Linked DNA regions of Rattus norvegicus. The protein of the gene in region 1 purifies or fractionates together with the protein of each later gene. This does not show direct contact. Links are inferred from orthologs where the notes say so. Each region holds a gene or a part of one and is shown in the gene's direction. Other genes may lie near its edges. The genes, in order: Sdhaf1 and Sdhb.

What was found.
Region 2: the proteins of Sdhaf1 (region 1) and Sdhb purify together in Homo sapiens (co-immunoprecipitation; 3 studies listed by BioGRID and IntAct, with this or other methods). This does not show direct contact. The link is inferred for Rattus norvegicus from reciprocal best matches to the Homo sapiens genes SDHAF1 and SDHB.

Annotation. Positions count from the first base shown.
Region 1 is NC_086019.1:94,701,557-94,708,867, reverse strand, and holds Sdhaf1 (succinate dehydrogenase assembly factor 1, mitochondrial), read left to right. Parts: upstream 1-4,256; 5' UTR 4,257-4,282; coding exon 4,283-4,639; 3' UTR 4,640-5,206; downstream 5,207-7,311.
Region 2 is NC_086023.1:158,544,706-158,553,590, forward strand, and holds the start of Sdhb (succinate dehydrogenase [ubiquinone] iron-sulfur subunit, mitochondrial precursor), read left to right. Parts: upstream 1-3,228; 5' UTR 3,229-3,248; coding exon 3,249-3,320; intron 3,321-8,885. UniProt on the Homo sapiens protein: Iron-sulfur protein (IP) subunit of the succinate dehydrogenase complex (mitochondrial respiratory chain complex II), responsible for transferring electrons from succinate to ubiquinone (coenzyme Q).

The DNA of each region.
Region 1 (7,311 bases):
TGGTGTACCCATCTGTGCTGGTGTACCCACCTGTGCTGGTGTACCCACCTGTGCTGGTGTACCCACCTGTGCTGGTGTACCCACCTGTGCTGGTGTACCCATCTGCGCTGGTGTACCCATCTGTGCTGGTGTACCCACCTGTGCTGGTGTACCCATCTGTGCTGGTGTACCCATCTGTGCTGGTGTACCCATCTGTGCTGGTGTACGCATCTGTGCTGGTGTACCCATCTGTGCTGGTGTACCCATCTGTGCTGGTGTACACTTCGCTTTGCCCCTTCAGAATCTTTGTGCTGTTCAGTTTTGAGGCAGAGTCTTGCTATGTATCTAGGCTGGAATAACAGGTACAGCACCATAAACTAGTTTTACTCAATGTCGGGGATCAAACCCAGGGTTTCATACATCTCCAGCCCTGTAGAGCATAAATCACAGAAAACAAATAATTAAACATTAAAGTATGCAGAGTTGTGCCTGGCATAAAGTAAGTGTTCAGTAAACAACTTAGATAGAAAAAATAATAAAACAGGGTTTGAGGGTTTTGGGTTTTTGTTTTGTTTTGTTTTTCAAGACAGGGTTTCCCTGGCTGACCTTGAACTTATTCTGTAGACCAGGCTAGCCTTGAACTCAGAGATCTGCCTGCCTCTGCCTCCCAGGTGCTGGGATTAAAGGTGTGCACCACCAGGTAAAACAGGTTATGGCCTCAGCAAGACCACATTAAGACATAGATAAGAGAGATGAGACAGATCACTGAGTACAGACACACACACACACACACACACACACACATACACACACACCACCACCACCAAGGCTTCTTATAGGAACATATATAAAATGTAATAAGGACTGTGGCCCAGTTGTTAGCATAACTTTTAGGCTCAGCACCAGTTACTGGGCAACAGCCAGGTATGCCTGACTGGTTATAAAAGGGGCTGCTTGCCCCCTCCTCACTCTCTTCTCTTGCTCTCTTCCTCTCTTTCCCCTCTGCCTCTTCTATCCCCATTCCCCTCCCTACCCCCCTCCCCACCCCACCCACCCCCACATGCTCTTGTGGCTGGTACCTCAGGGGGAAGTGATCCCTCAGCATGGGCCCACAAAGGCACTCCTTTACCCCTTCCCCCACCATACCGCACCTCCACCAAACATATACGTGGCTTCTTTTATAAAACAGAACACCAGCGACTTAGCTCACCTACACAAGGAGAGACATAGAAGTGCACTGGGCAGAGGACTTTGATCCCTCATTCCTTGTCCTAAGAAACTCAAGGTGGGCAGGGTCCATTACCCTCCCACCCCCACTCCCAGTCCCCACCCCGAATGTAATTAGAATGACACTTCACAGCCTAGAGGACTGATACCCTGGGGAGGCTTGAAGACTGCCAGTCTAGGCCAAGAGTTCGTAAGGACTTTCCCATGGTTGCAACATGGCAAGGCCCTGCACCTTTCACAAAGGGAGGAAACTGGAGAGATGGCTCAGCAGTTAGGAGGACTTGCTGTCCTTCCAGAGGACCTGAGTTCAAGTCTCAGTATTGGGTAATAATAGTCTCAGGTCATTAGAATTGAATCAGGCTGTGTGGGGCAATAGCCCTGCGCTGGCCCCAACGGAAGTCGAACAGTCTGTGTGGGGAGTGAGGACGAGTCTGGGAGAGAGAGAAAGAGGATGCAAAGACAAGAGATAGATTTGGGAGGACTGCCAGCCGATACTGCAGCAGCCTCCAGTTTCTTTTTTATAGCCTTTTTATACCTCGCAGTACTGTGGGAAGCAAAGCCACAAGCTAATAGAAACAACTGCTGAAATATACACAGGACATCTGTTCCCATCCAAAGGCCTCCATGTTCCTTCCACCAAGGTCAACAGAATCTTCAGCCCTGAGCCTTGAGCTCCAAGTGTACGTCCTCTTATCATCCCATACCTCAGCAGGCCAGGAAATCTGCCAACAGACCCTGACCCACCCTGACTCTGCTTGGCAGGCCGACTTCTCTTTCTCTCCCTCCCTCCCTCCCTCCTTCCCTCGATCTTCTCCCTTCCTCTCTTCCTCCTCCTCCTCCTCCTCTTCTTCTTCCCCTCCCTCCCCACTCCACCTCTCTTTGCTTCAGAGAAGCAGGCAAAGGGCTCCTGACACAGCCTTTAGCCATAAAAGATGGCTCAGCCCCAGTCTTCTGTTCCAACTGCAGAAACAATATGCCTGGGTATTGAAAAACAACCCACTCTGCTCTCAGCCAAATTACAAAAGATCCCTGTAAGTTCCTCGTGGCTACCTATATATGTGTGTGCACATAAACATGTCCCCCATCGCCATTAAATGCACCCAACCTTCATCCCACAGAAATGTTTCAATGAAGCTATCGCAGCCTACTGAAATGGAGTCGGTCCACCGCTGCCTTGTTTCTCCTACACTCAGCACCCATTAGATTCACAATGGGTGAAGCCTGTAGACTTCATGGGCTCTGACCCTCTCCTCTGGCCTGTCCAATGTGTTCACATACATACATGCTGGAGAGAGGGCTGAGTGGTTGAGAGCACTGACTGCTCTTCCAGAGGACCTGGGTTCATTCCAAGCACCCATACCATGTTGGCTCACTACAAGCTGTAACTCCATCTCTCTCTCTCTCTGTCCTTCTCTCTCTCTCTCTCTCTCTCTCTCTCTCTCTCTCTCCCCCTCTCTCTCCCCATTCCCTCTCCTCTCCCCTTCTTTCTCTTCTATTTAGTGAAGGGGGTAGAATGGAGGGCAGGGATAAAGGGTGGGATAAAGAAAAACCCATGGGGCTGGGGATTTAGCTCAGTGGTAGAGCGCTTACCTAGGAAGCGCAAGGCCCGGGGTTCCGTCCCCAGCTCCAAAAAAAAGAACCAAAAAAAAAAAAAAAAAAAAAAAAGAAAGAAAAAGAAAAACCCACAAAGTAACAGAGACTGGCTACATTTAAAAGCTGAACTTTCGGGGGTTGGGGATTTAGCTCAGTGGTAGAGCGCTTGCCTAGCAAGCATAAGGCCCTGGGTTCGGTCCCCAGCTCCGAAAAAAAGAAAAAAAGAAAAAAAAAAAAAAGAAAAAAGCTGAACTTTCTGTCAGCTCCAAGGGAAACTCCAATTCCCCCAATTCCAAAGGGCAGTCCAAATATCCAGAAATGAGCTCACCCTGGACTGCAGGAGGATTTCTGGTGGTGAAACAAAGCCAGCACAGCTCAGGAACTTGAGAAACTTGGCATCCTTTCCCTCACCTCTAGAAGGGATGTATAGCTACATGTGGGGCCTGTCAATAAAACAAAGAGCCTGCAGCCTTATCTCCTGCTATTTGTTAAGGGTTAAACCTGACAACGGTTCTGCCATATTGCCTCAACCTTCATTTTGTGGCTCATGACCTTAACCTGACCTAATGTTCCCTGACCATAACATCATGTTGTCGGTTAGAGCCTCCCTGGAGACCTCTGGGGATTTCCTAGCCTTCCTGCCTCTAGACCCAGCCAATGAGCTTAAAGGTCAGACAGTGCTGCTCTGTCAAGAGAGCCAAATGCATCTGTTCAGGGGTTTCCCCCATATAAAAACTGGCCCTGAGAACTGCCTGAGGTCTGCATGCCTGATTAATCAGTCTTGGAATGTGTGCTCAATAAACCGTCTCGATACCCTACTGACACTGGTGTCACCCAGTGATTTGTGTGGTTAATCCTGAACCCCAACACTATTTTCTCCTCTCTCACAGACAGCTCTGGCTATGTCCAATCTACTTCCTCTGTCTATTCTGGACTCTTCTAGATGTCTCTGGCTGTCCTCTCTCTCATATCTACAACAAACAATTCAACAAACAGCTTTCCCTTAACCATACCATGGAGTGGTCATGTCGTCAGTTTATGCACTTTCCAGCCCCCCAAACAGTAAAAATCTTTTTAAAAACTGCTTGTCTCTTCCCAATATCCCTATGCCCCCTGGTTATTCCCGGATTCGAACTCTTCGCTCCCAGTCCTCCCAGGACTCAGAACTATCTCCTCCTATTCTCTTCTAACATCTAACCGCTTAGGCTCTGCCCCCTGCTTCAACTCAAGTTCAGAAACAACCAGGACTGTAGGCCACTCAAAGACTACCCTTTAGGGTGAACCGGAGCACTAGAGACCCGGTCCACTTCCAGGGCCGCCACGACGTACTGCAGTACTAGCCAATCGGATGCGGCGGCACCGGTTAGCAGGAGGCGGGACTTCTGGCGGACGTGACTGTGGCCCTGCCCGTTAGCTTCTCAGCACTGTCTGTCGGGGCGGTCCTTCCGGTAGGGTCCGGGCGACTGACCGCGACGCAGCGGTCATGAGCCGGCTTAGCCGGCTGCAGAGGCAAGTTCTGAGCCTGTACCGCGAACTGCTGCGCGCCGGGCGCGGGAAGCCGGGCGCCGAGGCACGGGTGCGGGCCGAGTTCCGGCAGCACGCCAGCCTTCCGCGCTCCGACGTGCTGCGTATCGAGTATCTGTATCGCCGGGGACGGCGCCAGCTACAGCTGCTGCGTTCCGGCCACGCCACGGCCATGGGTACTTTCGTGCGCCCGCGGGGCCCTACTGAAGAACCCGTCGACGCGACAGCCCCGGGGAACAGGCTGGACGATAGTGATGCCCTAAAGAATCCTTGTGAAGGCACGGGAGCACGGGAAACGCGATCCGATGGACGGTGACAGACCCAGAGAAAGGTTCCTTTTGACAGTTTGGGAGGAAGATCGGGAACTCATCCAAATGGAAGCTGAGATGTCTTAAGAGACAACGGAATTTTCTCGATGCATGGTGAGAGGTCAGACACTCCCTCACCAAGGAGGTTCCGGGCATCCGGTGGCACCGGCTGGCTGAACAATGTATGCTGGGATTCACCAACCCAAAGTCAAAGAGAGCACAGACTCACGTTCTCCTCCCCTCGGGGCGTGACACCTCTCTTGACTTCTAAGAACACATACACCTCCCCACTCCCTGCCTTTTGCTGTTTTTAATGCCGAGAAAACGGCCTTTTTGCCGTGCATGTTTAATGGAACACCCTGATGAACCATGAGAAGCTTCGCGGTCCGGTTTGGAAAACCACTGCCCGACTTGTTGTGAAGAACCAGGATTGTAAGGGAGGTTACAGTAACTCACCCCAGCTGATGAGCCTGAGACTTCTGGAGAATCCCTAGCCCCTATTCTTGTCAGTCTTCCTCAGGATTCTTGTATAAAGGGAATAAATGTGAGGTGTGCTTTCTTCCTTGTTGTCTTAATAATCTTGTTGATTCTTTCATTAGGGGCCTTTGCTTTTTCTTTTGAGACAGGGTCTTGTTAGAATATAACCTCGGCTGCTCTCAGCGTCAGCTCCTTCTGCCTCAGCCTCTGAACTCCAAGATTATTGGCACGTACTGCCATGCCAAGGTTGGAGAGGCAGGCGGGAACAAAAGGGAGGAAAATGGAACCCCAGCTGAGGCTTGGTGTGTGACATAAAGAGCCTGTGACACTGTTTTCATATGGCTTTTATCTCACTTTGTTACATCACTCCCACCCTCCTGCCATAGGATGTTAGCTCTCTGCTCATCTCTCAGCTTCGGTTTTATTTAGCAAGGTGATCTTGGTTGGGTAGTTTTTGTTGTTTTTAAGACATGGACTCACTTAACCCAGGCCGGCCTCAATCTGGTCATGTAAGGGATAATGGCTTGCAACTCCTCCGTTCACCTCCAGATTACAGGCTCATTCTACCACAACACATGCTAATCTGTGTTTGCTCTGTTTATGGCCTTGTGCTTGCTGAGCAAGTGAGATAACCACTGGGATTCTCTTCCAACCCCAAGGTGACCCTGTTGATCTTGGTGCCATCTCAACTCCAGGTCTGAAAGTGACTACTGAAGTCCTACCCAACCTGTACCCTTGACATATCCCAGTCTCCTGTCTCATCTCCTGGCCCCAAGGGCCTGAGCTACATAGAGCAACCTTGTCTCTAAAAGGAAGGAAAGGGGGCCAGAGAGAAGGTTCAGTGGAAAAGGGAGCTTGGTGACAGGCCTGACTAGCTGAGTTTAAATCCCAGGGAACACACAGGAGATGAGAAAGAACTATGGCAATCTATGTCCATCTGCCTGTGTGCACACAGATATGTAGGTAGGTAGATAAGTGGGTAGGTAGAGATAGATGTATTTAGGAAGACAGACCATGATGACAGATTCCCTGATATACCCCTTAGCTACTGGTTTGCATTATCTTAATGTGGGCTTTCCTAGAAGCTACTGTTCCCCAGGCCTCTTCAGTACCCGATTTTGCATTTCCAGTAGCCATTCCATCTACTTTGAAGACACACTCCCTTCCCCATGGTTAGCCCCCATGATTCCAGCAGACCTGACTGGCCCCTCCTGAAGGCAGAACACACGGCCTAAACCAGTTGAGCCCTCCTGGGGACTCTTAAGTATGGAAGTTTAAAGGGAGAGCTATCCTGTTGACTATAAATTGATAGACACTCTAGCCACTAGGGAATGGACAAAGACAAAATGGGTGGGTGGGGTGGGAGGGCAGAAACAAAGACATCATTAGGATTTAGTTGTGCCAGAAGTCCTGAATGTCTGTTACCACACAAACTCCTGTTCCCATTAAGTCAGGGATCACTTGGCCTTAGTCACTCGCTCTTGGGTGGCCTCGGCCCTGACCTCTCTTGGCACCTGGCTACAGTGGGGCCTTGTGGCAATTCAAGGAGGCGTACATTCTTTCTGTGTGCAGCTTGGAGGCCAGCACAGGGAGGAGGAGCTGTGTTCAATGAGCATGGGCTAGCACCCGGCTCTGCTTTGTTCTTGTATTTGTGTTACCACCTCTTCCCTCACACCGTAGATTTGAGGAGATCAGGCTGCAACCCAGTGTGGACAATCCCAGGACTTCATACCAGAGCTGCGGATCAATGGTGGACCACTTGCCTGGCATGCTCCAGGCCCTGCCTGGGTTTCATTCCAAGCAACGCAGAACAGAAATATTAGCTAGGCCTGGTGACACACACCTGTAATCCCAGCCCCCTGGAGGTCGAGGCAGGAGGTTCAAAGTCAGCCTGAACTCTGAGTAAAACTACCAAGGGGAAAAATTATCCTATGAAGGAGAGTGACTGTCTCAGTCCTGAGCTAGTGACAGCCTATACCGGTCCATGCAGAATATGGGAACATCTCCAGGATGGGCGTGAGACAGGTGCTGGCAGTGCACCAACAGCACCTGCCCCAGCCTGGCAGCTGCTTCCTTGGCAGGTGCCGAGTGTGCTTTTCTTTTTCTCTCCCTCGGCCTGAGACTGGTGTTCATGGGAAGGATAGACAGATAGATGGGAAGTATTACGGTGTCTACCTCCCGAGAAGGAGACCTCACCAATGAG
Region 2 (8,885 bases), on another chromosome or scaffold:
CCCAGCACGTGGGAGGATTAAGAATTCTGGGCCAGCCTGGGCTACATGAAGAGCCCTTGTCAATAGATAAATAGGTATAGGAAGCTAGGACATTGCAGGTCCAAGTTATGGAACTGCACAGAGAAGAGGGGTGGACAGAGAAGAGGGTGGACAGAGAAGAAGATGGACAGATTTAAGTGGAGGCTAGAGTGGCCATGGACTTTGATGGATGGTAGTGGTGGTGGTAGGAGTAGAAATATGAACATCTCAGGCTGCTGGTGGGACAAGCCTGCTCTACTTCCAAGGGGAATTAGAACCTTAGAGAGAGGTGGGGAGAGAGAGAGAGAGAATATATCTGTATCTGGGATCACACACACACACACACACACACACACACACACACACACACTTTTTTTTGGCTTTTCAAGACTGAGTTTCTCTGTATAACCCTAGCTGCCCTGGAACTCACTCTTTAGACCAGGCTAGCCTCAAATCTGAGATCCACCTGCCTCTGCCTCCCAAGTTCTGGGATTGAAAGTGTGCTGCCACCACCGCCTCTTGGCCCCCCGTTTTCTCTTTGGAGGACTGGGAGAGGGGTTCTCACTATACCGCAGAGGTTGCGCTGTAACTAACAACTCTGTTGGGTATTTCCAAGGCAATCTGAGCTGTCGGGCCCAGCTTGGTATTGGTCTTTGCTCCCAGACTCTGTGCCTAGGCCTGGGGGAGTAGAAAGTTCCTCGAGCAGGATTCCCACCCTGGTTGCCCAGATTTCCCAGTTCTCAAAGACTGTCTGCAAGTGGGGACAGTTATTCCGACCCATCAGGGTTGTTGGGAGGACCAGGGGAGACTGTTGATGCCAACACATTTGTGGACGATGAGGTGAGGCTCTCCATAAACGCAGGGCGCCCAGTGGCATGTCTGATGAAAGCAATAGATCACTGTCTACACAGATGGCAACAAACCAACCCCAACCCTGCGGTCTCACGGCACGGACACCTTGGCAATCTAAGTCCAGAAGAGGCCATGCAGACCTTTAAATCCTATGGCCTCTGTGCCTTTCTGGCACCCCAAAGCTTAGGGCGGAGGTAGAGCAGCCCAGGAATTTATTATCCTTCCATAACGTTGAGCTTCCCAAATCCCCATGAAGCCCAGGAATGATGTGACGGCAGGGTGTGTGGGCCTACTGGCACCAGGAGCCCCTCTGTAAATCAAAGTCTCACTTTTGCTGGCTGCTGACTGCTTTTTCCAAGGTGACCTGGAAAAAAAAGGGTGGCCATTCGCGTAGGGGTGGTGTCTGCCTTTGACATGGTGGCTAAAAAAATGGCTAAAGAGACCAGTTCTCTAGAAATACTGCCTGGAGGAGTTACAAAGAAATGACAGTCTTCCTACAACCTTGGCCCACTTGGGTGGCCCCAATGGTCCCTTGGGTAGCCTAGAAGAAACTATCCCAGCCCTGAGCCAGGCCCCCTAAGAAGCCAAGGTAACCTTGCCATCTGTTGCACAAGACAACCATGCTAATCATAATCAGCTGGCACAACTCCTACTGATTCAGGCAAGGACACCATAAGTCAGAAGTGATGAAAGAGTTGTCAAAGGTCACATGGCCTTGAGGGGAGCAATCTAGGTAACCCCAAGGGTTCAGGACTCCCCACACCCTTTTTAATGAGGCCACCTGGCAGGGAAATCAGAATCAGGGTGAGTTCTCAGAAACTTGGCCTCATCTAACCATTCCTCCTGTCATGGTAATTTCTCCAGTGGCTTCTAAATGATGGGAGTGAGGAAACCCAAGACTATAAACAGTGCCCTCCCTCTGCCAAAGGTGAGCGGAAAGTAATAAACTCATTCCTCTGGTAATTGGGACCAGCAAAGTCACTGGGTACCTCAAGAGATCAAGTGACTTGGGATAGCAAGATCACACCTGCCCAAAGTGGTCAAATCCCCAGTCAGAAGGGCTCTGAGAGAACCCATTAAAAGTGCCAGAAAAAAGCAGCTCAGGTGGACTGGAGAGATGGCTCATTGGTTAAGAGAACTGACTGTTCTTCCAGAGGTCCTGAGTTCAGTTCCCAGCAACAACATGGTGTCTCATAACCATCTATAACAGGCCCTGTTCTGATGTGTCTGAAGGCAGCTACAGTATATTCATATAATGAACAAGACTTTTTTTCTTCTTCTTTTTTTTTCTTTTTTTTTTTTTTTTTTTTTTTTTGGTTCTTTTTTTCGGAGCTGGGGACCAAACCCAGGGCCTTGTGCTTCCTAGGCAAGCGCTCTACCACTGAGCTAAATCCCCAACCCCTTTTTTCTTCTTTAAGCAGCTCAGGTGACTAAGAAAACTGACAAAGCAAAATCTGAGGACACAGCTGGGTTGGTAGAGTGCTTGTTGTCCAGCACGTACTACCAGGCGTGGTGACACACAGCTATAATCCCAGCTCTCGGCAGTTCTTTACCTACGGGAAGATCTGAAGTTCAAGACAGTGGACAGCCTCTGTCTCCTTGGTGTCCAGCCTAAGCTGCATTACTCCTCTGTCCTATTGTCATCTTCCTCAAGGTTAGAAAGGAATTATGTGAGCCATTAACTCACTTACCACAGCACCCCAGAGCCTGGCGCCAGCCACACAGCAGGTGCCCTTTTTGATTGCTTTGGTTTTGTTTTTGTGTGTTTTAAGACAGAGCCTCAAGTATCCCAGATAGCCTCCACCTCACTAAGTAGCCAAGGATGAGCTTGATTCTCCTACTGCCTCCACATGCCAATTTCTGGGATTCCAGGCATGCAACTTACGTACATATTTATGAATAAATGAATGAGCGACACCTTTGACATTCATTTTTGTGACCGCCTCAATCGCTCGCCAACTGTCTCGCTCAGAGAGGGACTGACGGGTCCTCTAGCACAAAACTGATCAGACAAGAGTCACAGGTGATTGACAGACACGACTGCAAGTAGAGAGGGATTAAAATCACAGCCTTCAGCAAACTAGGAAAGACCCGCCCCTCCTGGCCTTTGCCCCACCCCTCCAGGCTACCTTCCCTCTTTCCCGCTGCTCCGACTCCAGAGGTCACCTTAGGAACATAGGAAGCCCAGTGGGCATGCGCCCTACTGGCCGCTACGGCACACTCGCACTTCCTGTCCGTTTACTCGGGATACCGGAAGCTGCCTTCCACTCGTTGGCTCTTAGGCTGCTAGCGGACCTCAAGGGGAGAGGCCGGCTTCCCACCGCGGTGTTCGACGGGATGCCGGAGGGTAAGGGGTGGGGCTGACGTCAGGAGCCAAAATGGCGGCGGTGGTCGGGGTCTCCTTGAAGCGCGGCTTTTCGGCTACGGCTCTCGGCAGAGTCGGCCTGCAGGTGAGCCCCGGAGCCGTAGTTCAGTGGGGAACCGTGCCGGTCACCGAGGCTGCCTGGGTGGAGAGTCCGCGGAGAAGCGGAAAGAGCCCGGGTCCAGGCCTCAGGAGAGGACTTACCAGCTCCCTGCCCCTGAGCATCCTTTCAGATAGCCAACCCGCGCTTCTCCCAAGCTGGAGAGTCGCGGCCGGGAGGAGGTTGGAAAAGATAACGGAAAGGCAGAGGTCAGGGAGGACAAGCGAATTGGTCAAGGTCATATGATGGGCGACCTGTTGTTGGAACCCAGAATCAAATCCTGATATTTGCACTCGACCAACCTTGTGTAAAAGGGAGGCCTGCGGGTTGTCTGGGACGGGTCCCGGGAGACCAGGTCGCAACTCCAGATTAGGCTGTTCTGCATCGGTAATGTCGGAGACCGCTGAACTCTGGAGGACAATGCACTTGACCCGCAGGGAAAGGAAGACATAGAAGAAAACGACCCAACCCCTGAAAGATGCGGACTGTAGAAGTTTGCAAGCAAGACCCGGTTCCCTGAAGTGTGTTTATTCAAGGGTGTGTAGCGGCACTGATCTCATACGGATGGCATGGGATGACAGACAGAGCCTGGAGCTGCTTTTGTTAATACTACTGTAGTGGCTCTGTCATAGGTCTCCCCACACGCCCTATCCTCGGGAGCTGTACACAGTGGAAGCACTTAGAAAGGCGAGAGAAACTGCCTCTCCTTAAAGATTTACAAATACCATTCAGTCCTCTTCTGGGCTCCTGGACAGTCCTTCACAGGTGGACAACAGGAACTCCGAGAGAGACTTTCTTAGTGACTTAAAACCTGAGCGCCCCCCCCCCCTTTCTTGTAAACTGTAGATCGTGGGCAGGTTCTTTTGTGGGTTGTTTTTTGTTTTGTTTTGTTTTGTTTAGATGTTTCCATTTGTACGTAGGAGTTATGTATAGGCACCATGCGTGTGCCTGTGGAGAAGAGGGAGCCGTATTTCCTGGAACTGGAGTTACAGGTGGTTATCAGCCGCCATGCGAGTGCAGAGAACTGAACTCTGCTCCTTCCAAACTGCTAGGACAAATCTCCAGCCTGTGACAGTGTTATTGTTTTGCTTAGGTTTTGGCTTTTTGGACAGTGTCTTTATGCAACCCTGGCTGTCCTGGAACTCAGAGATCCTCCTCCTTCAGCACATGGGAGTAAATGCTGAGATGAAAGGTGTGGACCTGTGCATCTCTGCATACACACCTATCATAGCAGCACTCGGGAGGCTGAGGCAGCGAGATCAGGAGTGTAAGGACATCCTCAGCCCCATATGGAGTGCAAGGCCAACCTGGGCTACTTGGGACCCTGTCTCAACAACAAAAACAGACAGTGCCTACCAGAGCCTCAGGCTGATGTCCCAAGTATTCAGTTAATGATCCTGTTTTGGTTGTTGAGAATTTCATGCATGACTACTGTATTTAAATTTTTTCCAATCCCCTCTCTCCTCCCATGCTCCCTCCCTTTCAAACTCATGACTTCTTTAATTAGCATGGCTAAATATATACGTACACAATCTCTTTAAGTGCATTTAGTGTTCCTTATGCATAAAGTGTTTAGGGCTGAGAACATGGGATCCTAATGACACCAGTTCATGCAAGCATGAATGGGAGAAATTTCACCAGGCCCCACCCCTAATTTAAAAGCTACAGCAATCAGTGACCGCACAAAGGGGGTGTATCAGTTTTCTTGAGGGAGGAGCCTCCTGATAGGTTATCCAGTTAATAATTCCGGGTGACCTTGTTTACTGTCCTCTTTCTACATTGCAGAGGCAGCAGTGAGGTTATGAGAGCCTCACTGTAAGGAGTGAGTTCTCAGGCTCAGGCGGGGCATTCTAGAACGAAGTGAAGAAGAGACTGGTTTCAAAGGTCAGCATTAGGATTTCAGGAGAGGCCCTTACCCACCTTTCTAGGGTAGTGAGAGTAAGAGAGGCCTCCTCCCTGTGGGAAGGTATATTTGTGCTCAAAAAGCCCCGTCCTGAGCTTGCTGTGGACTTTCCGTTCTGGTTCCAAGTCTCCTGTGATTGCTGTGAACTCATGGGAACAGATCATTTCCTGAGCTGTGCCAGTAGTTTGGCCTGCTCCTTGTGAAGTGGGTATCCATACCACCCTCCCCTTCGCAAAGGGGGAAGTGAGATTAGACTGGAGGAAGTGGGATCAGACTGGTTAAGAGATTCTCTAAAGAACTCGCAGCTTGAAGGTAACAGGGCTGGATCCCACTAACACACTTCAGATACAAGCCTGCCCCTTCCTTGAGTCTGTAGGGTTGGCTTTGCCTTCTTACCTTTGCCCACCTTCCTTCCTGGTGGCCGTGTCATATGTCTAGCTTCAGGCCTGCCCCTGCGGAAGATAGAGGAAGTTCATCTTCTCCAGGATTATCTAGAGACGTTCTTCCTTCGTGGCACAGTCACTGGAGTCATAGATCGAGGGCCAGATGTGTTCACAGTCTCCACTCCCATGGGGAACCTGGCATATAAGTTGCTGGACAGGGAGGGAGAGAGAGGAAGGAAGTCTCACACTACAGCCCATCTCCCTGTCTGAGCGGCCTTTTTTTAAAAGCAAAGGGTTTATTAGGAAAAGCTCTGAGAGCCGAGGAGATGGCTTGGTGGCTGAAAAGGCGTGTTGGTCAGATCTAATGACCAGAGCCCTGTCCCTAGAACCCACATGAAGGCAGAAGGAGGGAACCTACTTCAGAGTGTTCCTCTGCCCTCCACATGAGCACATCCTCGCCACCGACACCATGCACACAATCCAAATGCATTTTTGTTTAAAAAAAAGTTTTAATATAGATTTAAGCACAGACATTAGGGGAGAGGGAAAGACCATGAATGTACACAGGTTTCTCAAGAGGAGGTTGCTCATTCTCCTTCCTAATACCAGGGTTCAGGGCAGGCTAACAGGACTCCTTGGGCCAGCATACCACGTGTCCTGATGTCCATCCTGTCTTTCCTCATTTGTTCACCAAGGCCCTCTGCTAATTGTCCCCTCACCGATTCATAGCTGTTCTCTGCCCTCATGGTTATGCAAGGTACACAAGCATGCTGTGATTCCTGCCATCTTTCTGAAAATCACAAATCTAGGCTTGGAGAGATGGCTCAGCTCTCAAGAACACTTGCTGAGTTCAGTTCCCAGCTCCCATGTCCCGTCACTCACAGCCAGCTGTAATTGCAACTTTGGCAGATCCAGTGCCATCTTCTGGCTACCTCAGGCACCTGCACACATGGCATATACTCAGACACACACACACACACACACACACACACACACACACACACACACACGGCATACACGAGAATAAAAATAGGCTGGTGTGGTGGTATACACCTTTAATTCCAGCACTCATAAGGCCATGTAATCAGACCTCTGTAAGTTTGATGCCAGTCTGCTCTACTAGCAAGTTCCAGGATAGCCAGGGCTGGATATAAGACCTTGTCTCAAAACAACAGGACTAGCTGATTCCTAGCCATGGAAGGTGGATGCAGAATTGGCTGTTTAAGGTAATTCTTGGCTACATAATAAATTTGAGGCCAGCCTGGGCTATGTGAGCCTCATCTCAAAGTAAATAAATATCCTTGATTGATTTCAATCTGACCCTAGTCCCTTTTGAAAAGTGTGCCTGATCAAATGTCTCTATAGAAACAAATGTTTAAATAGGAGAAAGACGATGAAGCTCCTTTGCAGGTAACCTGTCATTTCAGCAGGCCTAGGAGTCAACTGAGCTCTTCCTGCCCTCAGAGGGTACTGCTGAATTGGTCTTCCATACTATGGGGCCATAATTGGGTATGTAGTATTGTCTTGGTACTCAGGAGCAGAAATCAGAGATTTGCCGCATGTTCAAGGCCAGCCTGAACTGCATAGTAAGATGTTTTCATCCAGGAAGAATCTCAATACTATTACAGATATATGTGATCTAAAATTATCTCAAGAGTCCAGAAGAGGGCGTAGGATGCATGTTTGTATCGTCCCGGTACCCGCATAAACCAGGCATTGTGGGGCGTCCCTGCTGACGTAGCACGGGGGAGCAGAGGCAGGAAGGTCCAGGTTCAGGGTCATCATCTCAGGGTTATTGTTCCTGGCTGTCTGACTCACATGACAGAGATTTTGTGTTGCTGAGATGCAGCAGAACAGAGCAGAACTTGTTTGTTCCCTAATTGGTGCTCAGATAGTCTTCATCATGAGTTTTCACTGGGTTTGGGAGGAGTGCTTTCTTTTTAAACAAATTTCTTTTTTCTTTCTTTTTTTTTTTTTTCTTTTTTTTTTTTCCCGGAGCTGAGGACCAAACCCAGGGCCTTGCACTTGCTAGGCAAGCACTCTACCACTGAGCTAAATCCTCAACCCCTGCTTTCTTTTTAAAAGCATAGTCTCTGCCTTTTCTGGCCTCAACTGCATGATCCTGCCTTCACCTCCCAAGTGTTGGAACAGCCCTGTGGCATCATCCGCAGATCTGTGCCTGTTTTAAAAATGTTACCATATTGGGTTTTTGGTTTGGTTCGGTTTTTTTGGAGACAGATTTCTCTGTGTAGCCCTGGCTGTCCTGGAACTCACTCTGTAGACCAGGCTGGCCTCAAAGTCAGAGATCCACCTGCCCTCCAAGTGCTGGGATTAAAGGGATACACCACCACCCCAGCTGTCATGTTGGGGTTAAAAAATATTTTTTAAAGATATATTTATTTATTTTATGTATATGAGTACACTGTAGCTGTCTTCAGACACACCAGAAGAGGGGGACATCAGGTCCCATTACAGATGGTTGTGAGCCACCGTGTGGCTGCTGGGAACTGAACTCAGAACCTCTTAACCACTGAGCCATCTCTCCAGCCCAAAAAAAAAATTGTTTTTATATTATTATTCTGTTGTATGATGAGGGAACGGCACGTGCCACTGTGTAGATAGTCAGTTTTTTCCATCTTTACATGACTTCTGGGAATGAACTCAAGTTTTTAGGCTGCCATCGCAAGTACTTGGACCCTCTTGCTGGCCACAGTGTCTTGTTTTAAAAACAGAAGTAGCTTTCTGACTGGTTTGTTCGGATCTCATGTAATAAGTCTCCCTTCTAAGTGTCATTATCTCACATACGTGCACAGCACAGTCTTGTCACCACCCAGGTTAGAAGTTGTACAGGCCGGTCGTGTGGCACTCACCTGTAGTCTCAGCATTTAGAAGGCCAAGGCAGGAAGATTGAAGTTGGAATCCAGCCTGGACTGCATGGGACCCTGTCTCAACTGAAGTGTCACTGTGTTCTGTGGTTCTCAGGACAAAAACGAACTCACCTCAGTGTGATCATGCCCCCACGTCACCGCACACATCCTCACACCTGCTGTTCCCCCTGCCTCCTAACACTGCTCTTCTGGCTCCAGTTAAACCCTAGTCAGTGCAGCCCGTGACCTCCGCCCTCTCTTGGGAGGCTGGCTTCACCTCCTCAGGATCCCTCCGTGTACATCGTCATGTAGCTTCCACTTCACTGTAGGTCACCACAGATAAGTTCAATGGAAGGGAAGGTTCTGTCTGTGTCAGAAGTAAAGCTAAGTTCTGTGTCCC